Lonchura striata: one gene and its partners. The protein of the gene in region 2 purifies or fractionates together with the protein of the main gene of each other region. This does not show direct contact. Links are inferred from orthologs where the notes say so. Each region holds a gene or a part of one and is shown on either strand. Other genes may lie near its edges.

Region 1 (7,775 bases), on a different chromosome or scaffold from region 2:
CCACACCATGGGGAAAAAAATTCCCATTTTCACATTTTTGCCTGTTTTTTAGTCTTTTTTTTCTGCTCCCAGCCTTCCATCAGGCTGGCAATCCAACCCTTCATTATTAAATATTTATGGGGACAGGAGTTGGGTTACAGCCAGGTGAAAGAGGAACCGGAGGGACTGGCATGGTGCTAGCACCCAGTGCCATCCTCATCCCAGGCACTGGGACAAGAACCCGGTTCCATCCTGGCTGTGGTTGTCACCCTACATTGTCCCTAAACCACAGGTGCCCATCACCAGCTCCATCCTGGCATGGCTGGGTGTCCCTTGTCCCCCACTTCATGGACATAGTGGCATGAATGTGCCAGCACACCGTGATGAAAAGTCCTTCCTTAGTCCCCTCCCTGGACTGTGAAAATGCCATCAGCCTTTTTTAAAGTTGTTACCATTATCCTCTTTCCTAAGGGACACTGGTCCCCCCCTAAACTGGGTGCACCTGCAAGGCTGCATCTACCTGCAGCAGCTGAGGGTGACACCCATGGGATGATGCTCGTCCAGAGCCACCATCACCAGAGGGTCCTGGGGGTGCTTCTTGGGGGAGTCTTACCGCGGCGGTGGCCCAGTGCCAGTGTCCTCTGCGGGCTTGGTGCCGGCGAGTGGCCGCAGCTCATCAGCTCGCAGGGCGCTGTAGCAGGTGGGTTGTCCAGCCTCGGTGGCCAGCACCGGGCTTGTCACCTCCTCGGCCACACCACCACCCTCTGGTGTTTTCGGCCAGCCAGCTGGCCCCACCGGCAGCTGCCGCAGCAGCTTCTGCACTGGCGGCAAGGACATCATAGCTTTGACTGGCGGTAGTGGCCCTGGGGATGGTGACAGGGCTGTGGCCCCGCTCCTCTGCCCAGCACAGTGGGCTGAAACCTGATGCTGTGGTTGGGATTGGGTTGCAGCCTAGATCAGGATGCAACTCCCAGTGGATGAGGCCAACTTGGGATGTCACGTCCAAAGTGACATCTGACCTGCAGGTGGGACTTGGGGACACTGCAGGGAGCTCCTTCCCCAGGGCTGAGTGGCTCAGTCCTGGGCAGGGAATGCACATCATGGTGGGACACTCTGCCTGGGTGGTAGGGTGGCATGATGGGGCACCTGTGGGTGTCTCAGCTGGGTGGTGGGGTCACACTTGGTGCATTTATCTTGCCACATATTACATGGATGCCATGGATGGCTCACAGGAGTGGTGATAGATCTGGTATGGCCCTGGCAAAGGGCAGCATGCAGATTATAGTGACACTATGGGTGTGAGGGACACTGTGAGTGTGGGGGACACTGCCAGGAGGTCAGGGGTAAGGGGTCATTGCCGTGGGGGTGCTGACACTGCCAGAGTGGGAGGCACTGATGGCAAATCACTGAGGTAACCGGGACCGACTGGGAGACACAGCCAGGGTGTCAGGGCTGGGGGATGCTTCCAGAGTGAGGGACACTGCCAGTGGGGGTCAGGGGACACTGGCAGACATGGGAGCAGGGAAGCATTTCCAGGCTGGGAGACATTGCCAAGGAGAAGTCAGAGAGGGGGAGACTTGGACAAACTGAGGGACACTACCAGCAGTTCCTGGGAGGGACAAACACTCTGAGATGTGGGTCATGATAGAGGGCACTGCCAGACTGGAGGACACTGGCAGTGGATCAGGGCTGGGGGAAATTGTCATACTGGGGGACAAAGCCAGGGGTAGGGAGTGTTACACTGCCAGACAGGGGCAAGGGACACTACTAATGGATAAGGAAATGGGGGACACCATGAGATGGGGATACTTCTTTCAGGTCATGGATGCAGGGCACATCCAGAGTGGGGGACAGTGCCAGGGGCTCTGGGTGGACACTGTCATACTGGGGGACATTGCCAGAGTATCAGAGAGAAAGGGACACTGCCAGGGATTCAGGGAGGGGGGACCCAGTGAGATGGGAACACTGCCAGGAAATCACAGATCAGGGACACATCCAGAATGGGGGACACTGCAGCATTAGGGAGGAGTACAGGGAGAGAGGGGACACTCCCAAACAGGGGACATTGCCAAGAGGTCAGGATGGGGTACACATTCAAGGTGCGGGATGCTGCCGGGGAATCAGGACTGGAGGAACATTGTCATATGGGGGGATACTACCATAGGGCAGGGATGGGGAGACACTGCTGGACTGGGGGACAGAGCCAGGGGTAGAGAGCGTGATGCTGTCAGACAGTGATTCAGTGCTTTCCTGCTGGGGCAGCAGGGACGGGGGGGACAGTGCCAGAGTGGGGGACACACACAGTAGGGAGGGCCAAAATACATTCCTGCAGCTCCAGGAGAACACCTCCCCCATTTCTCTTCACCCCTGCGCCCCCCTCAGGAGCGTGTCCCACTGTCCCACGGCAGGGTGACATTCCTTATCCTCATCCAACATCCCCCTGCCACCCACCGGGAGCCTCGATGCGATGGGGGGGTGTCAGCTCAGGAGAACCACAGGAGCCAGCAGACCCGGTGGTGGGAACACCGTGCCCGGGATACCCCAGCCCGAGGGTGGGAGGGTCAAGGGGCATCCCCTCATACCTCCCCCAACCGCAGCATCTCCAAAATTCCGCGGTGTTCCCACCCTCTCCGGCCTTTGCAACCTGCAATGACGGTGGCGGCGACCTGACCGCGTTCCCTGCCCCATCCTTGTCCCCATCCTCGTCCTTACCCCTATCCACATCCCCATCACCATCCTTATCCACATCCCCGTCCCTGTCCCCGTCCCCGCGCCGGGGGCCGCTCCATCCCCGGCTCGGGTACCGAGGACGGCGGCCGAGGCCTGCAGTGGCGGCCGCGCGGGCAGGCTCGTCCTTGTCCCCTCTGCCCGCATTGTCCCCACCTCTTGTAGTCGGAGGAGAAGATGCCGCCGCTGGCGGGGTCGTGGCCGTACTCGGGCTCGCCCAGGCTGGAGGAGCCGCCCTTCTCCTCGCCGTAGGCCGGGCTGGCGGCCATGGCGGCGGGAGGGATGCGGGATGCGGGATGCGGGGGGGACGCGGGAACTGATGTCAGCGCGGGCGGGGACGGGCCCGGCCCCGGCCCCCGCCCGGGGGCAGCGCCCGGCTGGGTCGCTCCCCGCCGACACCGGGAACGGGAGCGCAGGGGCAGATCGCTGCCCCAGGGGGTCCCTGCGCGGCCCCCGCACCTGCACAGCTCCGGGAGCGGGACACGGGCGATTCTAGGAGGAGCGATGCTGGGCACATAGCTATGATACAGTGACTGGCACTGAGCTCACAGCCGCACACATACCCGTCCAGAATCATGAAAATCTATCATTATATAGCAATAGACAATATTGTGTATGATTATAATTAGACGTATTTAAAATAGGTTACATTACAGTAAAGAATGTTATATGTTCGGATGTTATAATATGTATATCCTACCATATTACACTTTATTATTACTTTATAAATTATTCTTTTATGTGCAATAATGTGTGCAGTATACATAGTACACATTTACTTATATATTACATATAATTTATATATTCTATTACATGCTGCATACTGTATACTATATATTGCATGCTATTTATTACATTGCACTATATTATATTATATATTTCATTAATTATGCACTACTATGTATTTGCCATATTCATACTATGTTATAGACAATCCATAAACCATTCTACATTCTACAGTTTATATATATGATATAATATATGCAATAGGTTATATATGCAATATGTTATGCTATGTTATATTGCAGATTATGTTGTGTATTATGTATTATCTACTGTATGATAAAATTCAATATTTTATGATCTATAGTCCACATGATAGCATATGTGATGTATGATATCTGAATTATTATATATATTAGGTATGATATTAATTTATATTATTCTTATTGTTATAGATATTATAGTTTATATTTAATATTGTTATCAATAACATGATAGGAATTATATACTAGATATATGATCATATATTAACTATACTACAGACATCAAATACAAATATTGTAGACATGACTATGCATATTAATATATTTCATATATATTTTTATATACTACATTACTATAAATTATATAAATAATAAGATATCATTATTGATGTTATTATAGTTGAGATTTTGTTTGCATTTCTTTGATTTTTCCCAGGTACTTTATACTCTTGGCAGATATTTCTGCTGTTGTTTCTCCAGGCAACTGGTCCTGGAGCTGTGTGGATGGGGCAGCATTCACCCCATCCCACAGGAGTGAGGCAGTGAGGGAAAAGGGCCATGGTTCAAGTAGGAGAATTGAATAAAGCATCTAATTAATGGACAGCAATTAATCTTCAGCACAGAGACACACTCACTCCAGCCCTCCCAAGGACCCCACAGCCCTCCCAGGGACCCCAACCCTGCTGGGATCTCAGACCTCCCTGGGGACCCTGCTGCTCTCCTGGAGACCCCAACCCTCAGGAGACATAGAGAAGAGCCTGACTTCCCCCTTTTTTCCCCCTATAAACACTGATAAAATCCTACTGGACATTCCCTTCTCCCCGCTGAACTACCCCAACTCTTTCAGCTTCCCTTCCTAGGGAAATGCTCCAGAGCCTTGGTGGCCCTTTATGGTGTCTCTCCAGTGTGTCCCTGTCTCTCTCATGCTGGAGAGCCCAGCACAGGACGCAGCACTCCAGGGGTGCCAGCATCACCATGGGTTGGTGACTCACTCCCCCTCACTGCAGATAAACTCTACCTCATCAACTGGATCAGTAATGAAGAGGTTGACCAGGACTGGACACAGAGTTGTCCCTTGAGGTACACCACCAGCCTCTGGACAGACCTGATCCAGCCTTTTGGCCCATTTTCAACCCAGCAGCCCATGGAATATACATTTTTATGCTCAAAACTAAATGCTAGCAGTGAAAGAGGCAGATGTTTGTCTCAGGAGGCCATGGGGAGCAAAGAGCAGCCTCTCCCGTCAAGGTGGGACAACATTTGGCAGCAGCTTCTGGGAAAAGTGAGAAAACATCAAGCAGGGTTGGCGCAGGGTTTCCATGCAACTGTTTATTGCCACACAGGAGGATTGACAAATCCCTGGTGCAGTTCTGGTGCCCAGGGGAGGGTACTCAGCCCCACATGTTCCCCAGGAGCACCGTCACCTCCATCACTGCAGCGCTGGGGACACCTGGGAAAAATGAAGAGGTTTGGTGACACTTGGCTTGAGCAGGTGCCAAAATGTCCCAGGGTGGTGGTACCTAATGTAGTGGTGGCACCCACCATGGCACCAGCAAGGTGGCCCAGCCCCAGGAGGGCAAGAGCAAAGTGGATGCAGTTGCAGGTGACGGTGTCGTACTCCACTGGCTGGTCCATGGCCACCCGGATCCGTCGCTGCAGGGCAGCCACGTCCAGCCCTCCCTTCCTGCGGAGCACCTTGGCTGGGCCCCGTGTCCGTAGGAGGTGGCTCTTGCCGTGCTTAGCCACGACGCCTGATGGTGACATCCCTGAGCTGCCTGCAGGGCAAAGTGGACTCTGCACCCCATGTCCCTTCCATGGAGATGTCCCCATGCCATGACAGCTCCTGGGGCTCACCTTCCAGGTGGATGATCTCGCCGTCACCGCAGTAGATGCCAGCATGGGCACCCCACCAGCCAGGGCCCCCGGAGGCCAGCGGGAAGAGGAAGAGGTCCCCAGGCTGGGGCTCAGCCACCCCGTTGGGGACTATGTTGAAGTGTTGTCCCAGCAGCCCCTCGCAGAGGAAGAACCCTGCCGTGGTCACTGCCCCAGTCACTGCCTGGGGACCCAGCCATGTTTCAGGGCCACTGGTGGCCTGGGGACACCAGCAGTATCACTGACCTGCTGGCTCATCCCACATCATTGGTGGCTTAAGCACAGCTTGGGTCTCTGGCCTCCATGGATGGAAACCCTTTGGGAAGGGGCTGCCCCCTCGAGGTGCTGAAGCACCCATGGGTGCCAAGGAAAAGGCAGGGTGTGCAGCATCCAGCCCAGTTGTGCCAGGGCTGTGACAGGCAGTTCAGGGCACAGGGGCAATGCCAGCACTTACCTGCCTGGAACTGCTCACCTGGAGGGACAAACACCTTGCATCAGCCCCAGTGTCATCTGTGTCATGGCTCAGCCCTAGCCTGGGCTGCTGCCACCCCCTGCCCAAGCACCTGACTGGGATTCTCATGCCAGCACCCCCAAACCTGCCGTACCCAGGAGCCCAGCCAGTGCCAGGCCTGGAGGAACAGCCAGTCCGGGCCTTGCAGGGTCTGAAGGAGGGAGCTCACCTGTGGGGAGAGGAGGCAGGGCAAGACGGGAACTGTCCCCTTCTGACACCCATCCCCTGCCACCACCCGTGTCTCTGCCAGCACACAGCCCAGCCCAGTCCAGCCCAGCCTCCCAGGCCACAAACCCCCCCCCCCCCCCCACCCTGGCCCAGATCCAGGTCCAGGCAGGTCCTATGGCAAGGGGGTGGGATCACCTGGATGCAGGTGTCCTTCCTGCTGGCTTCCCCTTTACCTGGGCGAGGAGATTCATCTGCAAGCAGAAAACATGATGTCCCAAGAGCTGGGGGCAGGTACCCATACCTTGGAGACTTCTCTGTCCCCACAGCTGTGGTGACACGTCACCCTTCTAAAACCCAAGCTGCAGCCTCGGGGCTCGTTCTGTGCCCTGCTGCCTCACCTTGGGGGCACCTCCAAGGTCCCCTCACTCCACTGTGTTTCCCAAGCTGCTGCTGCTCCAAAGGTGGCTGCAGGGCAGGACCTCAGCCCGCCCCTTCGAGCACCACAGTGGCTCTTGGCAGCGGCACATGGCTCCACCGGTGCCTGGGAATGTGCCCGGACCGGCTGCACCGTGGCACTCTGCCCATCCTAAAGGGCCAGTCCCACGGGGACAAACCCAACCTGGTGTGACATTTCATCCACAGACCTCTTGGGTGACCCCAAAGGAGTCAGGAAACAGCCCTGTGGCCACCATGCTTTGGTAACCACTGACCACCAGGCTTATGACAAATCACCTCTCGGTGCCAAAACCCTTTGGCTCTGTGAGACCATCAGCCTGTACCCAGCCCCTTGTCCTAGGAATGGCCACCAGCCTGTCCCCGGCCCTGTCACCCCAGAATGGTGCATGCCCGGGGTCAGCTCCCGAGTCACATTAAACTTTAATCCTGGTGCCAGGGGTCAGTGAAGGCTTCAGCAGGGCTCAGGTGGGTGACTGTCACCCTCTGTCATCGGGCAACCTCCAAAGAATCATTTATCAAGGAGCCTCCAATAAACAAGAGCTAATTACAGGTGAAACCTGAGCCTGGCCTGGACCCAGCTCAGTGCAGGCAGTAATTAACCCTTCCCAGCCACCTCCAGTGCCACAGCCACCCTCCTAGAACTTCATGTCATCTTTTGTTGGTCTTGCCCCCTTCTAAACTCCACCATCCTCTCCTGGTCTCTGTTATCTTGCCCACATGTACCCATCACACCCTTCTCATTCCCATCCTCCATTCCCTCTCATTCCCTCCCAGTCCCCATCATCCCATCTCAGTCCTTACTATCCCATCATGATCTCCATTCACCCTATTGCATCCCACTGCCCCCTCATGATCTCTGTCACACCTTCCTGGTCTCCATCATCCCTTCCCGGTCACTGCTGTCACCTCCTGCTCTTCACATTTGTCATTGTCTCTGGGTCACCATCAAAACATCCAGATCCCCATTGTCCCCTCCTGAACTTCATTATTTCCTCCCAGTCTTCATCTCCTTGTTGCCATCACCCCCTCCTGATCCTTGTTGTTGCCTCTTGGTCCCCATCATGTCCTTTCCATCC
Region 2 (7,326 bases):
ACTTTCTGAAATTGTTTTTAAAAGGAAGTAGTCCTTTGAGAATAGTCAAAAGTTGACTCAAATCAGTGTTTGGTAGACATAACAAAATATGCAGTTTCCTCTGTGCTTTCACCAGTAGCAATTACAGCCTGCATGAGAATTTGTGCAGCATTTAATCTACTGTCTGATGAGCTTTCCAATAACACACTTGCATGGCACCTCTGTTCAATTTAGTTCCAGTATAAATCTTCTAACTGCTGGCAAGAGAGTTCCATCTCTTATCAACAGAACAATATTAGATTCTGAATAATCGAACAATATTAGATCCTGAATAGCTGCAGTTCCCTTTGGGACCTGTAAGAATAGAAAGCTTTGCTGGAAAAGCTAGAGTTTCTTAGAAAAAAAACCCACACCAAAACAATTACAAATTCCTTGCTAAAACTACATTTTTACATGGAAATGGAACATTTTGAACACTACTTAGATCTGAATCAGTAGGTTTAGGACTACTAACGGACGATTTAAGAAATTCACTCTCTGAAAGCAGTAGAATAGACAGATAGGGCCAAATGGACAGAGATAAAGTGAGTCTCATGTCACATATTTACTGTCCATAATATTTTCGGGAATATAATTAGGCTCATATTCCAGCCAAACCATTAAGAACTCTGAATGGACAAGGCAGAAGGATTCAGTCATAGGATATCAAAGCCCCAACTCAGCAACTCTTTGTGAAGATGTTTTCCACCATGCTCACCCAGTTCACTCCTCCAGTAAGTCTGACAGGCCAGAACAACAGTGCTCCTAGCTTTATACTACTGTGTTTCACAGGCTCTCTTTCAAGAGGCACTCAAGGTTCCAGAAAGGACAAGCACAGTGCCAGAGAGCCATGCACTACTGGAACACTCCATCAGAGCCAGCAAGCATCACTGGAACTCTGCTGTGCATGACAGCCCTTCCCAATGTGTGTGCACTCTGCCCCAGCCAGTCCAAACACAAGGCAGAAAGAAGGCACATAAACACTTCCTTCTCCTCCAAGAGGACAGAGCAAAGCAGCCCCCCTAATTATTTTATCTTGTATGAATGAATCTCATGAATACTCTAAGAAGTTCCTGTTAAAAGGCTGCCTTTCATACATTATGTTAAATAAGCATAAAAAAGATTCAACTTATCTTCGTTGTATTAATTTTTTGAAGTTATATGTGAAGCTGTAAGTTGGAGATAAAATAAATGGATATAAAAGGAAGGAACTTAACACTTAAAAAAAATAATTTGTTTAATTTATTGCCATTATTACAGCCATAAAATACAGTCACCACTCATCTCCTACTGTTCAGACTTCTCTACCTCCAGGACTTCAATTTCTCTTTTCTGAATCCTCATGACAAGGTTTTTATTAAAGATTCCTCATGTAAGGAGATCTTTATATGAGAGAATAATTGGGATTTAGCTGATCTTGCACAACAGAAAATTTAATTTCTGAATAAAACCAGCAAAATCAAACATGAGAGGGCATAGGCTATTCATCAAGTTTGATTTGCCATTTGCAAGGAATTTTCAGATATGTGCATACAGGCAGCAAGGAATCTATTTGTCCTCTTTCCCCCAAAAAAAACCCCAAGTTTGCTTGTTTTGAGTTAGCATGCAATATGACAGATGTTTTACAGAGCAATATCATTCAGATATTTCATCTTCTCTTTTTTTTCTCTTCAATAAATAAATGAGAAGCTATGTATGATTCAAACCCGCCGGGAACTGCCACAGCAAAATCATTCTCATGGTTGTCACAGTCAGTTCTTTTGTAAAACATTGTTTCCATCATTTTACCTCATGCATGAGTAACTGAAGTTGGTTTTGCTTTTCTTGTAAAGTACCTTTTCCTCTCCCATACTGCAGTCTGCCTGCTATGAACAAAAATTTTCATCATTCAAGTATGATTTTTTGTCTGGTTGGTTATAGAAGAGCTACACTGAATAGTGATGCTATTCCTCCAGTTTGATTAACACTTAATGGGTACGAACGATCCATCATACTGAAAAGACGGTAAGTGCATTACTAATTCACAGCAGATTTGAACTGAAACAAAAGAAAAGAACCGACAACCTCTACTCAGTTGCCGCTGGGTACTGAACAGGGCGGGAGCGATGTGCAGCGCATAGTGATGGATGATAACGCGTTTATTCCCAGCGCATATTAGGCAGATCCGCACTCACAGGGCCCCTCGCTAATTAAGCGGTTACAGCTGGAGTAGAAACACCACGGCTGCAGCAGGGCTGCTGAAGATCGACCCAGGTGAGCCGGCGCCGCTCCCCGGCCCGCCCTGCCCCTCCCGGCCCGGCGTGGCTGCGGCTGCCGCACCGCCCCGCTGCAGGCCCCGCGCTGCCCGGTCCCCCTCACGGCCCTGCGCCTCACGGCGGAGCGTGAGCGCTGCACCCCGCCGCTACCGCCTCTGCACGCTCCGCCGGGCGGTTCCGCACCTCCGCCGCAGCCCAGAACAACGGCGTGGGGGATGGTACTCGAACACGGCGACGATTTTGTATTTAAATGGGCACCGAACAAAACGGGAAGTCTCGGATTTGCAGGGCAGCCTCCCGGTACCGCCGCTGGCGGGGATGTCGCCCCTGCCCGGCGTCGGCCGACCAGCGCGACCGGGATCGGGCACGGGCGGCTCCCGCCCGGCAGGGATCCCGTCCCCCCGGGCACGGACAGAACCGCCCCACTCCCTCACGGCCCGGGCCCCCCGCGCCCCACGTACCTCCCCCGGCCCGGCACGGCCCGTCCCGCTCCCGGGACAGCGGCCAAGATGGCGGCGAGGCCCGGCGGCGGCGCGGGGCCGCCCCCCGGCGGAGGCGCGGCCGGCCGGGGCGCTGCCTGCGCCGAGCGCCCGAGCACGGCCCCCTCGCTCCCCGGGCCCGCCGGCCCCGCTGCCACGGCCGCCCCTCGCCGCCGGTCAGCACCGCTCGGCCCCTTCGGCCGGCAGGAGACGGGAGCGGCCCCCGGGCGCTAAACCCACCCGGGCCGGCGCCGCGGCAGCGCGCGGCTGGGCAGGGACGGCGGGCGGTCCGGCTCCGCTCCCCGCCCCGTCAGGCGCCCGGCGCGGCCGTACGTTCGTCCCGGCGCCCCCGCCCCCCGGTGGCGGTGCCGGCGCGGTCGGCGGGGCGGGCCGGGGCCGGCGGGCGGGCCGAGGGGAGCGGAGCGCGCCGCACGCCGCCCAGCGCGAAGATGGCAGCGGGGGAGCCGCAAGCCAAGAAGCTGAAGCTGGAGCAGAAGCAGCTGAGGTAACGGGCGCCGGGACGGGCTCTGCTTCGCCAGCAATCCCTGCGGGTGCCGGAGGTCGCTGGTGCTACTCCCGGCGGAGGGCGAGACACGTGCCGCCTCCGCGGAGCGGTCGCACTCCGCGGCAGGGTCCCGCCGCGCCGGGCTGCGCGCGGGGGCGCGGGCGGCCCCTCCGCGGCACCGGGCGCACGTGCAGGCGGCGGCGGGGCCGTCCCGCCGCGCTGCCCCGGCGGCTGCGGTGCCGCTGCCCGGGCCCGGCGGGTGCCCGGGGGCGCCGCCGCACTGGGCTCCCCGCAGCCGAGGCAGGGGCGGGTGGGCGGCGCGGGGGTCGCGCTGTGCCCTGGGGTCGGGTCGGTCGGTGCGAATGGGCTGCTGAGAGTCTGGATGGGTTGCGGTAAAACGGAACGCTGCTCGCAACGATGGCCCCGTACTAGAGCACAGCTGGGATTGTCACTGCGTCTGCCTCCCCTTTGAATATAAAATACCCCGATTAATACTCTCGCGAGGGTGTCTCTGTCCCTGTTAGATAGGAAACTGAAAATCCGAGTTAACAGTTACATTTTCTTCAAGACATACCGTATAATTTAAAATATCTTCATATTGAAATAATCTGTGCGATTTGCTATACTTCCTCATTTCTGTGATCACAGTACAATAGCACTGGCTGAATCCCATTTGAATGATGGCCTGCACAGACATAAGTAATTTATTTTTAAATGTCATAGCAGAAAAATGTAAGGTTTCTCAATGGAGGATGCACAGTCAAAATGAGAACTTTGAGTACTGAGAGCTGTAGAGCAGTTTTGGTGGTTTTTTTTTTTTTTTTTGGTACAGTTTCAAGTTTGTTTTCTCAGGATTATTCAGATATTAATATAATTGGAAGATAGCTGACTTCCTTCCAAGTGTTCAGTGTGTGAAGAGAATTAATGACATAAGCCTTGAAAGGTCCAAAATTATCTTGGCGATAACTGATAACCAATAACTCACTCAAATATAGCATAAAGGGGATGTACTTTAGTCCTGAGATGAGAACAATTTTTTTGGTACTGATGTCCTTATTAAAAGAGCTAATCCTATTAAATTTGTCAAAGTCAGGGTACTTGCTTCTTTGGCAGCTAAGTGACTTTTCAAGTTTAGTAATGGTTGACAAGCTCAGTTGCAGATAATAGAAGAGGAAAGATGTAACTGAGCTCTGAAAGCAAATAAATGGCATGCAGCAAGGTAAGGTTATAGTAAAAAAGCAACAGTTATCTCCATGTCTCCTTAAAGCAAGATGAGGGAAGAAACTGGAAGCTGCAATGTTTGTTTATAAAGTTTATTAGAGGAAAAAGCATTTTAAGATGAAATATGAGAAAAATTTCAAATCTGAGAATATTATTGGTGTACCGAGTTAAAAATTTAAAGGTTGTTTGCAGTGGAATGAAAGGCAATGGTGACATACCATGTCTGGTAATGACTGACTAAACTGCAAATACTACTTCTGTAAGGTATGATAGATAAAACAGGAAGAATGTTGTTAGAACTTGCATATGTTAATTCTGTTGCAAGTTATTTCAAGCCAAAGTATAAATAGGCTCCAGTTCTGTTTCATAAGAGGAGAAATGCCATAATTAACTGGTGATCAAATAAAGCTAATGTGTGCTGTTTGCCACAGGTTGAACTCATGAAGCAGTTGGTGGTTGGACTAGATTTAGCAGACTTCAGCACTCATATGAATGTAGTGGCAAGAACATGTTTGGCTGAGTGCTGTTGTGGGACGTAAAAGCAACTAGAGAAGGTACCAGACTGGTCGAGGTTCCATGACTTGGCTGTATTTGTAACGAGATTCAGTTGTAATGCAAAGCACTGCTAGATATGTTTGGAAACGGTTCCTCTATAGATTAGAAAAGAAGTGAAAAATCACTTAATAATTTCGGAGGTCAATAGCATCGTACTTGTTATACCAAGAATTTGAGGGGATTATAGAGAATGATTGCTTGTTCTCAATATGTAGATCTGGGGCTCTCCAGTCTCTTCAGAAAACCATGTCTAATGGATTCAACAAGGCTGGTTGTACCGTATTTATCCTCCCATATGATATCAACCTCAACCTTTCCCATGACTACCATGAAAACTATTTTAGTATAAAAAAATTAATTCTGCAATGCAATACAAGCCATACCTCATCAACAATAGCAAAGGTTTCCTTTCCCTGTTTTTTCTCTTTTTTTTTTTCATAATTTTTTCTCTCAAAGTGGCTTCATAGAGGTTTCATGGTTACATTTTTAGACCCCTTTGATCTTTTCAGGCAAAGGAAAGCAAATATCGCTCCCTCATGAGGTAGGCAAAGCTGACTGGGTTCAGGAAGCTACACTTGTTTGAAAGCAGTATAGGATGGCTGGCTTTTGCCACCCAGTGAGCAGCATACAAAGCCCGAGACCCAAACTGGCATTCCCAGCTCAACAATGTGTTGTGCTGACATTCATCTGCTGGGCGGCAGGTTTTGCATTGTCTTTATTGACTCCTGCAAATCCCCACTACAAACCAATGGGCTTTAGGCAAGGCCATTAATGTGTGCTGCCTTGTTTTGGGCTTCTGACTGCATCTGTGCTCTGTGAACTGCACTGTTTGAACAGAAAATGGGCTTGCAAAACTGCAAATGGCTTGTCATGGAGTGGTAGCACCAACTTACTAGAAACATCATGAGGTGTTACTTTAGAGGAAAATTACTAAGGATTTGTGTTCTTTTATATGTGGTTTTGTTAGGGAAGTCTGTGAAAACCACAGGCAGATTCTCTTAACAGTCTGGTACAGATATGAAAGAATTTGGACGTTTTCTGTAGAAATGTTTGAGCTTAAATGTATGTGTCTGTATAGAAATATGCATGTTCATCTTTTCCTTCTGCACACAAACTTGTCAAGTCCCCTGTGCTGCATTATGACCTTCTGGCTGTTCTGCAGCTGCTGTATTGATTGAATAGTCATGACGTGGCTAGTTGTTTGAACAAATCAGTTTATCTAGTAGGCAATGTAAGCACTGAGTTTGGCAAATAGTTCATGCTAAAAGTAAAAAGTACAGTATTCCTCCTCTTCTGCTACTATTAGAGATCTCTTCATTTTAAGAATAAATTATCAAATACTCTGTGCATAATTGTTATCAAAAGCAGTCTTTTGTCATTACTGTTCCACTAGATTTTAGAAAGCTTGGTACTAGTGGCTGTAAAAAATATTGCTAATTTCACACATTTTAAATTTCCTTAATAAGCTGGCTTTTAATTTAGCTTATTCTTTCATCAGCTCTTTATAAATGAAAGAAGATTTTGAATATTTTAAGTTAGCTGTGGCTAAGCTTTCAGTTAGAATTTAGTAAATAACGTTTTTCTCTCTTTTATCTCTTGGTTTGGGTTTGTATTTTTTTTGGGGGGGGGGCGTTTCTTTTTGTTTTTTAATTTCACCTTACTCCCCATTTGTATTCATTTCAGTTTTTGTCTTCATGGCTTATAGTTTTCTTACTTTTCTATTTCTTATATCTGCAAACACAGGTAGTGTTTTCCGTGTTGGTACACATAATGTCCTCAGGTCAAAGAAGGAGCTGAAACTCAAGCACTTTTCTGTGTTTGTTCCCAGAATTAGAGCAATAGACTTTTTCTTCAGATGAATATTTAGTCTTCTTTAGAAATCAGACAAATACTCTTGAGGACACTAGCCACAGACGTTGCTAATTTTGTTTTATTTAGGATGCAACAGCAGTTACCTTCCCTTCCAAGCTGTGTTGACAGAAATACATCCAAAACCGGAATGACTTGCAGCATGGAAACTCCTGTGCTGTTACAGTGCAGGCACTGGTTTCCATTGTTCAGATGTGTAACTCTCAAATTACCCTTGACAAGTGTCTTCACCTGGCCTTTGATGTAATCCTCTGGGATTTTGCACAGCACGAGTCATGTTTCCACATGACAACATGTTTTGTGTTTGTGTTTTGGAGAAAGATTGCTGTGGCGTTTCATCCTTTTAGTTGAAGTAATTCCTTGCTTTATTGTAGGGAGTGTGTAAGCTGAGGAAACAGGAGGTTGTGGGAAGGCTCTTTGGACC
Region 3 (7,831 bases), on a different chromosome or scaffold from region 2:
AGCCCTTAGAACAGTAATGCAGCACACCTGATCCAGGGTATCCCAAGCAAGAAAACAAGAGGAAGTTTTCACAAAGACTAGTTCCCAAGCCCTGGAATCATGATCCCTTGTTAAGATTCCAGCCATGACATACATGGCACAGACCCACGTCATTTTCAGCTCTGTGCTTTCTGAGTGCTCAGGGAACTCTGGTGTTAACTGGATGCGAACCACAGCAGCTCCATGTAGATGGAACAGAGTGTGTGCGTGCTGGAATGCAGTATGGAAATGCTTTTGTTTTACAATAGAATGTCCAAGCAAAGGACATGATTGCTGCCAAAGGCTGATATTGGTATCTGTTCTCATAATTTCATTAGAAATCTAAACCTTCCCACCTCACAATGCTCTTCCTTTTGAAAAGTTGACCGTGTAGGAGAGGTACCATCAAAACAAATCATTCAGGTTCAACTTAGTGCTCTATTCTACCCAGGCTCTGTAACTATCAGTGCCATTAAAACACCTCACAGCCTTCAACACGACCTCAAACATGGGGGCTATCTGTTACAGAATCTACCTGAGAACTGCAGGGCTGGCGCAGCAGGGGCTGCTCTGAGCCCTGGGAGGCACCCAGAGCCAGGTACAAGGCCTGTGTCCCAGCCTGCTCTATCAGTGAACAACCCAACATATTCTCAGTATACTAAGTATATTTCTGGGAAGGAAACAGGCTTCATTCAGGATCTGTAGTGGTCTAATGCAGCAAAAAACCACTTCTGTAAAACAAATCACAGCGCCCCTTGGTTTAGGTTTAGGCAGTTTCAGGGAAACAGGAGTTGTAAAGATCTTTGTGTGCTAACGGTGGCTCCAAATCACATCCTGCGCTCCTCCGCTGAATGTCAGGAATTTGCCAAGAAAGGAGAAGTGGCAATGCACAGGATTTGCAGTTCTGCCCTTCCTGAGCAATGGCCCTTGTAATGCCATTCCTTCACATAGGAATGCTCCCCATCTCCCCAGTGCTATGGCTATGGGGGGGTACCCTTACTTTCATAAGCCAGCCTGTATCTCCTATAAATATTATATAACACTGACACTGGGAAGAGTTACTATGGAGATTGGAAAGCTTGCCTTAAGGCAGTGACAGAAAGCTGGGTTTTCAGCTACAAAGCAGCAACTGGAATGCAAGTCCTGGCAAGACAGAGCACAAACCAAAAATCTTTCCTGAGGCTTTCACTAATAAGACAAAAAGCAGCAAAGCTACAGTTAGCATTTTTGGCCTTGCACAAACAGCAGGCAGGTGCCCATGCACAGGTCTAGCATGATGCAGTCACCATGGAGCAGAGCTGGTCCCATCCTGTGCCAGCAGGATGCAGCTGATCCTTTCCATCCGCAGCACAAATCTCCCCTGTCTGAGAAGCCAGCTCCTGACTCTTACATAATTCACAAGCTGGTATTAGCTACCTGATCTCTGGCACTCGGCTGCCCATGCAGCACACAGGTCTTCTGGGCTGTGGCCACATGAAGCCTCTGCACAAACCAACAGTCGAGACCAGCAGATCTCCAGTACATGTTTAAGGATGCAGTGCTGTGTTCCAAGGCAGCACCTTCATCCTCACCCCCATCTTTCACTGTAAACCCAGTCTCAACAATCACACTTCTATTTGTCTCATGCAGGATTGCTTGCTAAGACATTAATTTTATAAATTAAACAGCACTGGCATATCTGAGATGTGCTAGGGATAAAGGCACCAAATGCTTTCTCTAGTAAAGCAGAGCACTTCAAAACCTCAGTCCCAAAGCCAACAGACATAATATTAAACAAAGAAAAAAAACACCCCAAAATCCTAAGTGTAACTTCTTTATTGCATTCTGTTTCAGACCAAGACCCAACAGAAGCTCTATTCCTCCAATATGTGTGCCTTCACAGAAATTAACCAGTGCCACATTCACAAATCAGTCTTTTTCCCACCTGCCAATCTCTCAGCCTTCTGCAATCTGCCTCCACACAGACGAGCTGGTACTTGCAGCACTCTCTGGAACCAGCTCTATTTTCAGCAGGAATGACATAACTGCTGTCCCTATCTCACAATTGTTACTTTGGGATGTATTTCACATACTTGCAGTGCCCTCCTGAAACCCGATACTAGAAATCACCTTTACTGAGCTCCAAGGGAAAAATGCAGTCCTAAACCTCAACACTGAGAGAAAAAGAATTCTGAAAGCGTTCCTCGATAAAAGAGCAAATGTATCGTTGCAGAAAAGATAGCCAAGATGAAATGATGTACTAAGGGCACACAGAAGTATGTATTTGCTGTCCACCTTTTACTGAAGCCTGGCAGGGCTGAGCTTTTTAATAGACACTTATCATACAACCACTACAGCTTAATTATAAGCATCATTATCCTGTGCTGCAGGGAAGATCACCCACGTACTCAGGGGAGTTACCCTCTTGATGCTCGAACTGACACAACCTGATGTACCAGGCACTCCCTCCTGTGCCACAGCCGGCAGGCAGCGCTCAGGGACGCTGCTGCACCGCGGGTCCCGAGTCCTGCGCCGAAAGACGAAAGTTTCCCATTCCTCACTCCTCCAATGACCTCCCACATTTAATTCCAAACCTGGCTTTGAGCGAATACGGATAAAAGCACCAACCTGCACACAGAAAGCACACGCACTCCCAGCCCCTCTGCGGTCCTAGGCACCCAGGGGGCACAGACAGGGCCGCCCACCTCCCTTCGGGCTGGCCCGGCCACCCGGCCCAGCGCTCCGACTCACTGTTATACTGGACTCCCTTGGCGAACCTCCTCTGCAGCGCCTGGTTCATGGACTGCAGCCCCGCAGGGATGTTTTTGTCGCGGACCGCAGCCTGGTCCGAGCCCACCAGCTTCTTCAGGGCCGAGAACATCTTCGTGGTCTCACACCTGCACCCCGGGGAACGGGCCGAGCGCGGGCTCGGGAGCCGGGCGGCCGCGGCGGAGGCACGGGGCGGCTCAGAACTGCGGCGGGGCCAGCCCGGCCATGCGGGGCGGAGGTGTGCGGGCCGGGCCCGGCAGGAGGAAGCTGCGCCGGGGGAGGGGAGGCACTATCGGGGCATGTCCCGGCGCGGGACGGTGGGGCCGCTGCCGAGGTCCGGCACGGGGCGGTGGGGCCGGGCGCTCAGCCCAGCCGGGGAGCGGGGCCGGGAGCCGGGCGGGGGCAGCGGAGGCGGCGCGGGGCTCCCGCCGCCGCCATCTTGGCTCTTCCGCCTCACCGCGGGGGGCCGGGGCGCACGCGGCGCGGGTACGGCGGCCGGCGGGGGACAGAAGGGCGCGGAGCGCCATCGCTGCCACGACCCCGGGAGCTTCCCGCCGTGACTGAGGGTCGAGTGCAGCCCGACGCGCCCGAGACCCCCGCAGCGTGACCAACACAACCCCGGCCGTGCCCCCGGGACCGCCACAGCCCCCCCAAGACTCCCGCAATCCCCTCTTGGCAGCTTCACAGCCCCCCATCCATGACCGTCGTAATGCCTCACGAGGCCGCGGCAGCATCCCTGGGACTCCCCCCAAAACACCTCTAATCCCTTCCTGGGACCCTGTGCCCCCTGGGACCGCCATAACCCGTGTCGTCTGCTCCTATGCCAGTCCCGTTTTCCCGTGACCCTCGAAACCCCCTAACTCTGCTGTGACCCTCACGGTCCTACCCGACACCCCGTAATCCCGTGCTGCAAACCCCATATAACCCTCCCCTGATTGCCCACCCCCCGTGCAGCCCATCTCGGCCGCACACGGGTCTCCCTGGTCACACCATAACCCCGAGACAGCTGCAATCGTTCACCCTTAGGGACAAGCAGACACTGGTCCCCTTCCCAGCAGCCCAACCCCATCTCCTGGGAAATGGGGGCTGGAGTCCACCCAGTGGCACCCCTGAGCCTCTCGGTGTCCCCCCAGCCCTGTGTGGGCAGAGGGCAGTGGCCTGAGGAAGGGTCAGAGACTCAGCGGGGAGAGCCCAGTAACCCCAAAGAGATGGGGACACCCACCAGAGAGGACCCCACAGCATCCTCTGCCCCTCCTGTGTCCCCCACCCTGCTCCCCACCAGCCTGAGGATTGACACTGGGCTCTTTGGTCACATGAGAGACATTTACTGCTGGAGGTATCTCCTGGGCTGCCACAGCTGTCAGCACTGTCCTGCATGACCCTGGTGCTGGATGCTGGCCCCTCATCCTCTGCCTCCATCAGTTTGAGAGCTGCAGGAACTCCTCGTCCTCTGCAAGTGGAGAGTCACAGCAGGTGATGGACAGACCCCCCAGAGCCCTCATCACCCTGCAGTCACAGATGATGGATGCTGCTTCCCACTTTATCCCTGCACACCCGTGCTGGTCCCCCACTTTGTGTCCCACCACACGCCATGGTGGCATTAGTGTACTTTATATTGCTGGCAGGGATTATAAAAGATGAGTTCTGCCCTAGGACAGGCTCCATCTCCCATCCATGGGGTCGGGCCAAGTCCCCAGCTCCCGTCCTCCTGGGAGTAGGCACGCCCAGGGCTGGATAAGGTGGAAGACACCTCAGTCTGCAGGATGATTTTCTCTGCCACACTCCTGACAACCTGGTCATCATTTTCCCTGAGGGATAAGTGGTACCTCTTGTGTCTCCCAAGGAGGTTCAGTACAGAAACCCCTGCACTGGCCGGAACTGGGGGGGCCTGGCAGGTATCACACCCCTGACAGGGACCCTGGCTTGGTCCTTAGTTGGTGTCAGGGTTCCTGCACCACCAAGTCTTTCAGCCCATGTCTGTCACCTCCACTGCTCCCCGCTGCACCCCAACCTGCCTGTGGACGTTCCCCCTCTCATCAAGACCATGCCAAAGTTCAGTCATGGCCTCAGCATGTCTGCAGCTTGCCCAGCCCCACTGTGCCATACTGTTTGTGGGTTAATGGCCATATTCCCTACCCAGGACAGATCCCTCCTAGGCACAGCACAAAACCATCCCACACCCATGACAAACCCATCCCAGCCCAAGGACAAACCCAGCCCGTGTCCGTCCTGACCCAGAATGACCCATTGAAGAAAGAGCACAAAACCAGTCCAGACCCATTCCAGAGCCAGACTGATCCTTAACCCATGACAAATGCATCCTAGGCCCATGATGGGCCCATCCTGGACCCATCCAGAGTCAGGACAGACCAATCCAGAACCAGGACCGCTCTGTCCCCATCCCAGGCAGACCCAGTGCAGGACAGAAGCTGTTGCAGGCTGCTGCCCTGGGGGGTGGTGGGGGGGGGTGGCAAGGGGAGTACCTGCCAGCTGAGGAGCCCCGCAGTACTCCTTGCACTCCTTCTCCGAGTAGAACTGGTTCCCGTTGCCCTTGCAGCCCCCATAGCTGAAGGTGATGCACTTGCCCTGGGCTGCGTCGAAGGCCCAGCGTGTCATCACTGCCTGGCAGGGTCCTGGGACAATGGGCAGCCTGCAGGCAGCTACAGGGACAGGAGCTGCATGAGATGGGGGGTCCAAGCACCCCCACACTTCCCACATGGATGGCAGACACATGGCATTTGAGGCAAGGCTCAGATCCTTTGTGATGCCTCAGCAAAGGCACCTCCAGTGCCCCAACCCAGCCGGGATTCTCACCCTCGGTCCGGCATGCCTGCAGGCACTCCTTTTCTGAGTAGAAGTTGTTGCCATTGCCCAAACAGCCTCCATAATGGAAAGTTTCACAGGCCATGGAGGAGGAGTTGTAGAAGAAGCGGGAGAGCATCCCGCTGCAGGGCCCGGGGTCCTGGCTCAGCCGGCATGAGTCTGTGGACCAGCACCCCATGGGTCACAGGGGAATGGGAGTGCAGGCCAGGGGCGTCCTGATGCAGCCCCCTCCCCTGTGACCTACCTTCCTTATTGCCAACGTAAGTGGGCAGGGGTCCTGCGGCTGAGCCCTCCTCCAGGGGTAGGACTGCTCTCCGTGCCCTCTGCACAGTAAGGAAGCACAGAGCTGCCATCAGTCCCTGTCTGTGGGACCTGCTGCCTACCCCATTGTCCTGAGGGTGGGCTGTGTCAGGGGCACCTCAGGCTCCAACCCTCCTCTGTGCTCCCACCAAGTCTCCAGTCACTGGTCTTGGGTCTGCAGGCTGTGATCCCTCCACACATCATGATCTTTCCAGCCCTGTGCTCTTCCAGGGTGGGGTCCACAAACCCAGATTGTTGTGGATTAAGACACCCCAAGTGCCCAAGTCATGCCTCGTGCTGGTGCTGGGGGTGTGCCTCAACGATGTGTTACCTGCTCTTGAGTCAACTCTTGTTGACTCAGACATAGAGCTTAGACATACTCAGTCAACCCAGACATAGGGTTTTTTCTCCTATGAAAGTCTCATTCCCCCTGGAAAATCTTTCAACACTCAACCATGAGAGACTGGGAGGTGCTGAGTCATGGAAGTTGAAGAGCCAGTGGGTGTTAAGCTTCCCCATCCCTGGAGAAGGAGCCTACAGCCTGGCTGGGACACACACAGACAGGCAAGGAGCAAGGAAACATCAGCAACCTTCACACTGTGAAAAAAATCAGAGTAGGAAAAGTCTTCCACCTGGAAATAAGCTCTTGTGCCCACCTGGCCACCAGGACCCACCCCCCCTGCAGCCTGTGCCATCCCTTCAGGCAAAGCCCATCAGCAGAGGAGGAAGAGCAACTCCAAAGATGGTCAGTGGAGCCACTGCCCAAACAACATGTCCTGCCCATGGATCCTTCTCCCTGGACACCCGATCTCCAGTGAGTTTGGCTTGGAGGGGATGTTTCTGGCCTTGATCCACTTCAGAGGGTCCCAGCTGGCCACTCACCTGGGGAGCATTTTCAGTCTCTTGAGGAACACATTCACCTGACCCAGAAGCAGGAGAGCAGATGAGCAGTGTGAGAGGAGAGGTGTCCTGACAAACTTCAGTGAGTCCAGCATTGTGCACATGCAGGACCCTGAGCAAGGGGACACCCTCCCACTTCCACCCAATGTTACTCCCCTTTTTCTGCTTTCCACCTCACACTCAGAAGCACCATCCTAAAATGCCCATTTCCCTGAAATCCCCACAGTCCCCCTGGGTTCCCCCAAAATCGTACACACACACACACACCCCCACACATGCTCCATCCTGCTATCCCCTTCTGAACCCCAGACTAAGCAAGGAGCCTCCCAGGTGCTGGCAGAACCCAGCTTGGAGACCAGACACAAGTGTTCCATGCCCTCATCCCAGCACAATGGTGTGTTTGCACTGACCTGACAGCCCAGAACTGACCCCTCTGGAAGATGATTTCTCTGGTAGAATCCTGATACGTGGCCTTATTTCCTTTTCATCCCATGCTACCAATGCATTTGTCTCTCCTTCCTCCCTCCTGACCACCCCCCCTCTCCCCAGCTTGGCAGACCCAGAAGGAGCACCTGGAGTGCTCTGGCAGCATGAGAGGCATATGCCCCATGGGAGGTTACCTCTGTTGGCCAGGATGAAGATGGAGTCTTCAGGGATGCCCATCTCCAGAGCCAACTGATGGAAAGACTCAATGAGGTCCTCCCGTAGCTCCGGACTCCTCCCTGGGAAAGAGAATGGGCTGTGAGCAGGGTCGGTGTGGGAGTGCAGCCCCCAAGCACCCACCGAGCTCAGGTGGTTGCAGGCAGGTGCAACACCAGACTCCTGGTCCTTCCCAGCATAGAATCAGGGAAGCAAAGATTGAGCCAAGCCGTTGACCCAGCACTGCTATGTCCACCCTAAAACATGTCCCTGAGCTCCACGTCTACATGTTTTTTGAAACCTACTGGGCACAGTGATGTCACTGCTTCCCTGGGCAGCCTGCTGTTCTTGACCAAGGGCTTGGACAAAGTGGGTTTTATGTTTCTTAAGCATCTCCTGCTAC
Region 4 (7,524 bases), on a different chromosome or scaffold from region 2:
TAATGGCCAAGAGTCGAAGCTGGGAAGCAGCAGGAGCACCAGATGGGAAGGGCTGGGAAAGCCGGGGTGACCGAGCTGGGGTCTCCACTACCAGAAACCCCGACCCCCATCTCCTGAGAATGTTCTTCTGTCAGGAGGGGCCAGAAGAAGGGTGACCCACTGCTGCTGGCAAAGGTGTGATGTGCCCTGCCCAAGGGCTGGGGCTGGCCATGGGGCTCAGTGTTTTACATGCAAAGCCCATGCAAAGCTGAGAGTAAGGCTGAGTGAAAAACTGCTGAGTCCTGCCCATCCCACAGAGTCAGTGCCCATGAGCATATCCTCCCCCAGCTGTGGGCAGAGGTGACCTGGGCAGCTGCCAACACTTCTCCCACAGCTGCTTGACTCTCCTTCCTCCTTTGATAAACACTTTTGCTGACAAGAAAATCTCGTTGTGGCATTTTGGAAAGTTTGCAATAGGGCAAACAGTGAAACCAAACCCAACCTCAGCAGCTGTTAATGCAGACAGCGCCCCAGACCTGCTCACTCCCCTTCCCTGCCAGTTCCCCAGCTGGAATCATCAATGGAAAGGGAGCATTTTGCACCTTTTTTTTTTTTCCCAGTGCTCTTTTTTGTTCTATGTTTTGTCTCCAGCAAAGCAAGAAAATCTTGACCAACAGCAACACAAGCCCAGCGCCCTCAGCCAAGCCTCTCCCTCCTCCAAATCTATTCCTGGCTATCTACTCCCAGCTATCTTCAGCCTTGAGATCCAGAACATGATCAAAGAGGACGGTTCCCGCCCAGGATCTCCATCCAGCTCAAGAGGAAGCATTACAGGCTGTGGTTCAAACCAAAGTTTACCCAGCACTTTGAATTCCAAACACTCCCATTGTTCCTTCCCATTTTTTCCCAGCAGCTGTAGTAAAATGTTAACTCCTGAGCTGTCACAGCTGGAGCAGAGGCAGAGCGCCCCAGCGCCAGGCCAGAGTCTGCCCAGCTCCAGCAGGGCTGCCTGTGCAGCACAGGGGCAGCCCCAGGGCTCAGAGCAGCCCAGCACGCGGGTCTCTCCTTGGCAGGTCACAACGTCAGGGGCTTCCAAAGGACACGGGCTGAAACTTCCCACACAGGATCCCCGTCCCTCCCAGTGACCCCTGCCATCCCCACACCCTCCTGGCCAGCCCCAGCCCAGCACCCACCTTGTCCATGTGGAAGATGAGGTCCAGCTCACAGACATTCTCAAAGCACTTGTCCAGCGTCTCCACGAACACCTGGGCAGCAGACAGACACCACACCAGGCAAGATGGTCACGCCAACCCCATGGAACACTCCAGGCATGGGGCAGAGTGACTAGAAAGCTAAAAAAGGACCTAGGGATGCTGGTGACTGTGGCTGAACATCAGCCCAGGTGCGTCCAGGTGAGCAAGAGGCCAATGGCACTTGGCTTGTGTCAGCCCCAGTATGGGCACAGGCCCAGGGCAGTGCCTGTCCCCTGGGCTGGCACTGCTGGGACACCTCCAGTGCTGGGACAGCTCTGGGCCTCTCCCAAAAAGAGAAACCTGGAGGGGCTGGAGCGTGTCCAGGGAAGGGATCAGACCTGGGAAGGGGCCGGAGCCACAGGAGAGGCTGAGGGAGCTAGGAAGGGGCTCATCCTGGAGAAAAGGAGACTCAGGGGGCACCTTCTTCCCGTATCCTGGTGTTTAAAGGGTGGCTACGAAGCTGGAAACTCCTTTAACACTAGGAGTCATATGGAAAGACACAGAGCGATGGGTACAAGTTCCTCTTAAGGCTCAAGAGGAAAATTTTTTTCCAAAGACACAGCCGTTGAATAATCTCCATGAGGAAGTGAGGGATTCCCCAGCACTGGGTATTTTTCACAGGGCAGGGTGTTGGGAATTGTCTAGGCCATGTTTTGCCAAGAAAGGCTGGATGAGACAATCCCTGAGGTCCCTTCCAACCTGGGATTGCAGAATCCTAGAATTAATGGTTGGACTTGGTGCTCCCAAGGGTCTTTTCCACCCTAAATGATCCCATGCTTTGATTTTTAGAAGACATTCCTTCAGATTGCCTTCCCTGCTGCTCCCAGGTGAAGAAGCCACGCGGAAGCTCAGGGAGAACATGCAGCCCCCATCCCCAGCACGGCCCCGAGGGCTCCTCAGGCCTTTCAGAAGGGCTGGCACAGGGCTGGCAGGGCCACAAAACGCCCCCAATGGTGCCAGGGCTGGCAGGGAAGCCGGGCCCTGCTGGGACGCACCTGGATGAGGTCCAGGATGCCCAGCTCGCTCTCCGAGGAGTCCACGCAGAACACGAAGTACAGCGTGGCGTAGTGGCGGTAGATCAGCTTGTAGTCCGAGCCGCCAAACAAGCTGTGGGGACACGGGCACAGCTGCAGGCTCGGGCACGCCAGGTCCCACGCGGGGCCGGGGCACCGCCGGTACCTGCCGGTGCACGGGGCCGGGGCACCGCCGGTACCTGCCCGGGGGCACCGCCGGTACCTGCCGGTGCACGGGGCCGGGGCACCGCTGGTACCTGCCGCACTCCAGGAAGTTGCAGATGTGGTCATCGCGCTTCAGCACCAGGTGGAAGGTGTCGCGGATGATCTGCTGCTGCACCTCTTCTGCCTGCCGGGAGGACGCGGTGGCTGGGCACTGCCGGTGCCACCCGCGGGTGACCCGGGCACCCTGAAGGACGCGACAGGGCAGCGGCACGACCGCCCCGCTCCCGGGACGCCCCCCGCCCATCGAGCCCCACGGCCCCTCCGCCCCGCACCGCTCCCGCTCCCGCACCGGGCTCGGGCTCCGCCGCAGCCCCAGCGGCGGCCCCGGCCCCGCCCGGCCCCGGTGGCGCACCAGGTGCTGGTAGAAGCGGACGAGCCGCGGCTTCCCGTGGTTGTTGAAGACGAGGATGGCGTTGATCATCCCGGCGGCAGCACCGCGGCCGTAGCGCAGGAAGCCCCTCGGCCGCCCCGGAAGCGCACCGGGCTGCGCCGGGCTGAGCCCGGGGTGACCCTGCGGAGCGCCGGGCCGCGCCAGCGATCAAAGCCGCTCCGAGGCGGGGGCTCCGCGGCCTGCCGCCGGGAAGGGCTCGGCCGCTCCTCGCAGCCCGGCGGGGCAGACGGGCAGGCCTGGAGGGTGCGGCGGCCGCTGCCCGCGCGGGGACGGCTGGGACCACTGGGACCACCGGGACCGCCGGGAACACCGGAACCGCCGGGAACACCGGGACCCCGGGACCACCGGAACACCGGGACCGCCGCTTCCCGCGCGCGCCGCCAGGGGGCGCGCCAGCCCCGCCGGGACCGGCGCCTCGCGCAGGGGGCGGGGCTGTGTTAGACCACGCCTTCTTTTAAAGGGCCAGCGGCACCCTGAAGGGTGTGTGCCCGGACGGGGCGAGCGCGTGGGAACCGGCGGGGGCAGAGCTCACCGGCCACTGCCCGGTCCCGCTTCCGCCCAGCGCGGGCACACACCGGCCAGGGCCCGCAGTAACGTGAGAACAGGGCGGGGCAATCCCGCGTGGCACCGGGCGCTAGCCACGGGCCCTTACCGAGAGGGTACGGACACGGCTCCTCGGGACCGCCGGGCACGGCGGGGGACATCGAGGGCCGGGAGAGAAGGGTCAGTGCGCGCCGCGGGGCTGCGAGGAACGGGAGAGGAACGGGAAGGGAACGGGAGAGGGAACGGGAGAGGAACGGCGGCCAGCGCAGGGACCGCGCGTGCTGATTGGCTGAGGCGCCTGCGGCCGCGGGCATCCGCCTGCTGATTGGCTGAGTCAGCAGCCTCTTGAATCCGCGCTCTAATTGGCCGGGATGGCCGCATCCTCTTGAATCCGCGTTCTGGTTGGCTGAACTGGGCGCGGCCTTCTGAATCCGCGTCCTGATTGGCTGGAGCGGACGGGCCGCGACTCCCCGGCAGCCGGCGGTGCCGGGGCTGGCCCGGCCCCGCTCCGGGTCCCGCTCCCGGTCCCGGTCCCGCTCCGGGTCACACGGTGCACCCCGCTCCGTGTCCCGCCCGGTTCCCCGCCCTGTGCCCTGCTTTGTTGCCCGTCCCGTGTCCCAGCCGGGTCCCGCCCGGTGCCCGCTGCAGGCACAGCCGGAGGCGGGGGCAGCCCCGGGAATGCAGGGCAGCGAACCTCCTCGCGCCCCGTCACTGCCGGCGGCGCTTGTGCCCCGGCGGAGCCGTTCCAGGCCGCGGGGCACGCGCGGAGGAAGCGGCGCTCTGGGCACCGCCGGGGGCACCGCCGGGGGCACCGCCGGCCCCGCGCTCCGCAGGGCTCCGGGCTGGGACGTGACGGGATGCTGGGCGGCCCCCGGACACGCGCGGGAGATGTGAGCAGGGCAGCGGGGACGGAGCAGGGAGCTCGGCTTTCGCCACGAACACAAAAAAAAACCCCGAAAAGCAGAAGTGAGCCCAGACAAAGGACTGCGTGTGGAGACTAACTCTGCTGCGATTAGCCCGGCCGGCGCCACCTGCTTCCAAGGGGATGAGAATCTCCCGAGTCACGGCTGCCTCCGCATGCTCCTTCTTCTGTGGGGAGGAGACCCTCCTCTTCCTCCTCCTCCTCCTCTTCCTCCTCCTCCTCACGATGGGAGCCAAAGCCTGCAGCCTGCAGGGTTGCCACCCCCTCTCCCTCCCAAGTCACATCTCACCCCCGTCCCTCCCTCTGGGGAGCAGTGGCCTCCTGCCTCCACATCCCCACAGCTGCGTAGCTCAGCCTCTCCCTCTGCCTTCTCGGGGAAGCCAGGAGCACACCCTTCCCCAAACCCCCCAACTTCCTGATCACCTGCTCCCTTTCCCATGCCACATCCCATCTCACTGCCTCCTCCGGCCACCTCCTCCCACCCTACCGCGGCCTTTCCCTCCGCCTGTTTGTGTGGGTGAACAGCATCCCTCCCCAAACCCTCCAATTCCTGCAACATCCCTAATTCCTCTCATCCCATTCGTGGCGAGAGGAGTCCTTGCCATCAATCCCTACAAGCTTTTTGGGGTGCCCATGACCTTTCCCACCCCCGTGGCAGAGGAGAGCGATGCCCAGCTGGATGTGGGTCTCTTGGGAAGGTCATCCCCTCCTCGGCATCATTGCGTGGGGCCACAGCCCCCAGAAGGAAGGGTGAGGTAGAAAACGACCCCTGTGCTGCCGGGGGGGACATAAGGCAGGGACAGCGTGGGCATAGGGACCACTCCCACCGCCAGTCCCCCCACTGAGCCCCCAAACTGGTACCGAGGGCGGCCCCGGCTCCGGTGGAAGGTGCTGCTGAAGCGGGGGGGCGGCTCGCGGTGGTCGGGCAAGTTGAGGAGGGGGAGGAAGATGAAGGGCGGGCGAGTTAGGAGGAGCTGCTTTGCATCCCTTCACGTCAGCCCTGCCTCATTCCCTCCTTCTTCCTTCCTGCGCACCCAGCGCCGGGCCCGGAGCCGCCGCCGCCGCCGCCGCCCCGCGGAGCCGCCGGTGAGTCCCCGCCGGGCCCCGAACGCCCACCGACCCTCCCCGCTTCCCACGGGGGTACCGGAGCGGGGACCCCGCGGTGTCGCCGCCTTCCTGCCCCGCGCCACCGAGACGGGAGCGATGGCGGCGGGAGGGACCGGGAGGAGCGGGGCGGACCGGGGGTCCCGGCTCCGTGCCTGCTCCCCAGCAGCCCCCGAGAACTTTCCCCGCGGCCGCCCGCAAACTTTCTGGGCCCGCAAAGTTGCGGGGAGGGCGCGGGGCGGGGGCCCTGACCTGTTGCGGGCGGGGGCGGCGGCGCGGGGAGGGATGCTCGGGGCCGGGGTCGGGCCGCGCCGGGGCTCCGGTCCCCGAGCGCCGTGCTGAAGTTTGGGGAGTTTCCTGGTGTTCGGGAGGGGTCCCGGCTGGGGTCCGCCCGTCCGCTCCGGGGAGCGCAGTGCAGCGGTGGTGACCGGGTGGGCTGGTCCCGCACCGGGCGGGTCCCGCCCCACCTTCGGTCCCGAGCACCGGCAAGTCCCGGTGTGGGACCTCCCGGTGCTCCGAGGCGGCTCCGAGAGGGCTGGGGGGGCCTTTGGTTCTGCGCCCAAGCGAGGGACCAAGGGGAGCCGTGTGAGAGCCCTCCACAGCTCTGGTCATAACAGCGTGTAATGGGTAAATTAGTTCTATTAATTAATTAGTCAAGCATAGGATTTTTCTTGTGAGCAGCTGTGTAGGAAGAGAAGGGTGACCAGGGGGAATAGGGGCAGCCCAGAGCCTGACCTGTACCAGACTGAGCCTGACCCCACCCCAGGTTCAAAGACTGCAGCTCCATCAGCCCCCCACATCCCACACCCCACTCCTGTGCCCCACACCCCGCTCCTGTGCCCCACACCCTGCTTCTCTGCCCCACACCCCCCTCCTGTGCCCCATGCCACACTCTGTGCCCACACCATGCTGCCAGGCTTGCCTTGGTCACTTCTGTGGCCGGGGTTTGAACAGGCCCCACGGGCTGTGGGTCCCACACGGCACAGCTGGGTCCTGCGGCCGTTCAGGCTGGCCACAGGATTAAGCAAATATAGCCTGGGCTGGAGACAGACTCCAGGCTTGGCTCTGCAGGGGTCGCAGGGAGGCAGCAGCCTCGGCGCTCGCCCTGGAGCTGCCAGGGTGCCCAGTGCCTGGGGGCCGTGGGGAGCAGCAGCCGGGGCAGCGTGGCCGGGCTGTGGCCGTGCCCTGCTGCCAGCCTGGGTGACAGTGTCCTCACTGCAGGAGCTGCCAGGGAACAGGCACGTCCCCCTCGCCCAGGCCCAGCTCCTCTCCTGTGAGCAGCTCTGTGTCAGTGCCCTCTTTATGGGTCACACTGTGTCCCTCCAAAACGGGAAATAGCTGAAGCTCTGCTGCAGCCCAGGACACGTTGCCACCAAACCTGGGGGTGACTCGTGGGGTAAGACGTGGATCCCGCAGCCGTGGGAGTGGAGCACCTCTGATGGTGGGGTCACAGCTCAGCACGTTGGCATTTTGGGCTTGGTTTAATCCCCAAGAGAGTGTTTGTTTTGGGTGGTTTTATTGGGCCATTTTCATTTATCAACTAGTTTAGGAATCGCGGTGTGGAGAGGGAGGAGCGCAGGCACTGTCAGGCTTTGCTCTCCGGCTGGGAATATTGAGGAATCTACAAAGCAGTAGGTTTGTACTGCCAGGAACATGCCAGCATCACAACCTTGAGAGAGAGGCTGCCAGCACTCCTGTGTTTTAGTTATTCCTGTGGAGAAGTCAGCTCCAGCTCAGCCCAGTCTCTGGGAACGTCCCTGGGGCTGCAGGCCAGAGCCAGTGCTGGGGTGAGGGGTAGCCCTGTGTCGAGCGGGCTTCCTGCTGGGTTTGTTGCCCTCTGCCACGCACTCCCAGGTTTGGTTTCCCTAGCCCCATCACCTCCCTGGCTCAGGTGCAGCTCCTGGAATGCCCCGAATACCAAATTCAGGGCACGTGTGCCATGAAGGTGGCACGGTGGGGCTGGAGGAACGCTGCAGGATGGCCGGGATGTGATGTGCCACAGTGCCCAGTCCCATCCCCTGTGCTGCCTGTGGCTAGAGTCCTCAGCAAGTCATGGTCCCCCTGAGCCCTTCCCAAAGGGCTCAGCCTTGGCAA

Evidence for each region.
Region 1: the proteins of AP3M1 (region 2) and AP3B2 purify together in Homo sapiens (co-immunoprecipitation; 3 studies listed by BioGRID and IntAct, counting the BioPlex papers as one, with this or other methods). This does not show direct contact. The link is inferred for Lonchura striata from reciprocal best matches to the Homo sapiens genes AP3M1 and AP3B2.
Region 3: the proteins of AP3M1 (region 2) and RABL6 purify together in Homo sapiens (co-immunoprecipitation; 3 studies listed by BioGRID and IntAct, counting the BioPlex papers as one, with this or other methods). This does not show direct contact. The link is inferred for Lonchura striata from reciprocal best matches to the Homo sapiens genes AP3M1 and RABL6.
Region 4: the proteins of AP3M1 (region 2) and AP3S2 purify together in Homo sapiens (co-immunoprecipitation; 3 studies listed by BioGRID and IntAct, counting the BioPlex papers as one, with this or other methods). This does not show direct contact. The link is inferred for Lonchura striata from reciprocal best matches to the Homo sapiens genes AP3M1 and AP3S2.

The regions. Positions count from the first base shown.
Region 1 is NC_134613.1:7,232,136-7,239,910, reverse strand, and holds the start of AP3B2 (AP-3 complex subunit beta-2), read right to left. Parts: upstream 3,017-7,775; 5' UTR 2,976-3,016; coding exon 2,863-2,975; intron 1-2,862.
Region 2 is NC_134609.1:11,960,247-11,967,572, reverse strand, and holds the start of AP3M1 (AP-3 complex subunit mu-1), read right to left. Parts: upstream 3,018-7,326; 5' UTR 2,993-3,017; intron 2,828-2,992; exon of another isoform or gene 2,735-2,827; intron 1-2,734. UniProt on the Homo sapiens protein: Part of the AP-3 complex, an adaptor-related complex which is not clathrin-associated. The complex is associated with the Golgi region as well as more peripheral structures.
Region 3 is NC_134624.1:5,627,835-5,635,665, reverse strand, and holds the start of RABL6 (rab-like protein 6), read right to left. Parts: upstream 3,018-7,831; 5' UTR 2,879-3,017; coding exon 2,749-2,878; intron 1-2,748. Other genes in the region: protein AMBP, read right to left, coding at 4,185-4,216, 5,250-5,426, 5,581-5,748, 5,834-5,912, 6,772-6,809, 7,410-7,511. UniProt on the Homo sapiens protein: May enhance cellular proliferation. May reduce growth inhibitory activity of CDKN2A.
Region 4 is NC_134613.1:24,310,388-24,317,911, forward strand, and holds the start of AP3S2 (AP-3 complex subunit sigma-2), read right to left. Parts: upstream 3,004-7,524; 5' UTR 2,892-3,003; coding exon 2,823-2,891; intron 2,595-2,822; coding exon 2,503-2,594; intron 2,340-2,502; coding exon 2,228-2,339; intron 1,245-2,227; coding exon 1,173-1,244; intron 1-1,172. UniProt on the Homo sapiens protein: Part of the AP-3 complex, an adaptor-related complex which is not clathrin-associated. The complex is associated with the Golgi region as well as more peripheral structures.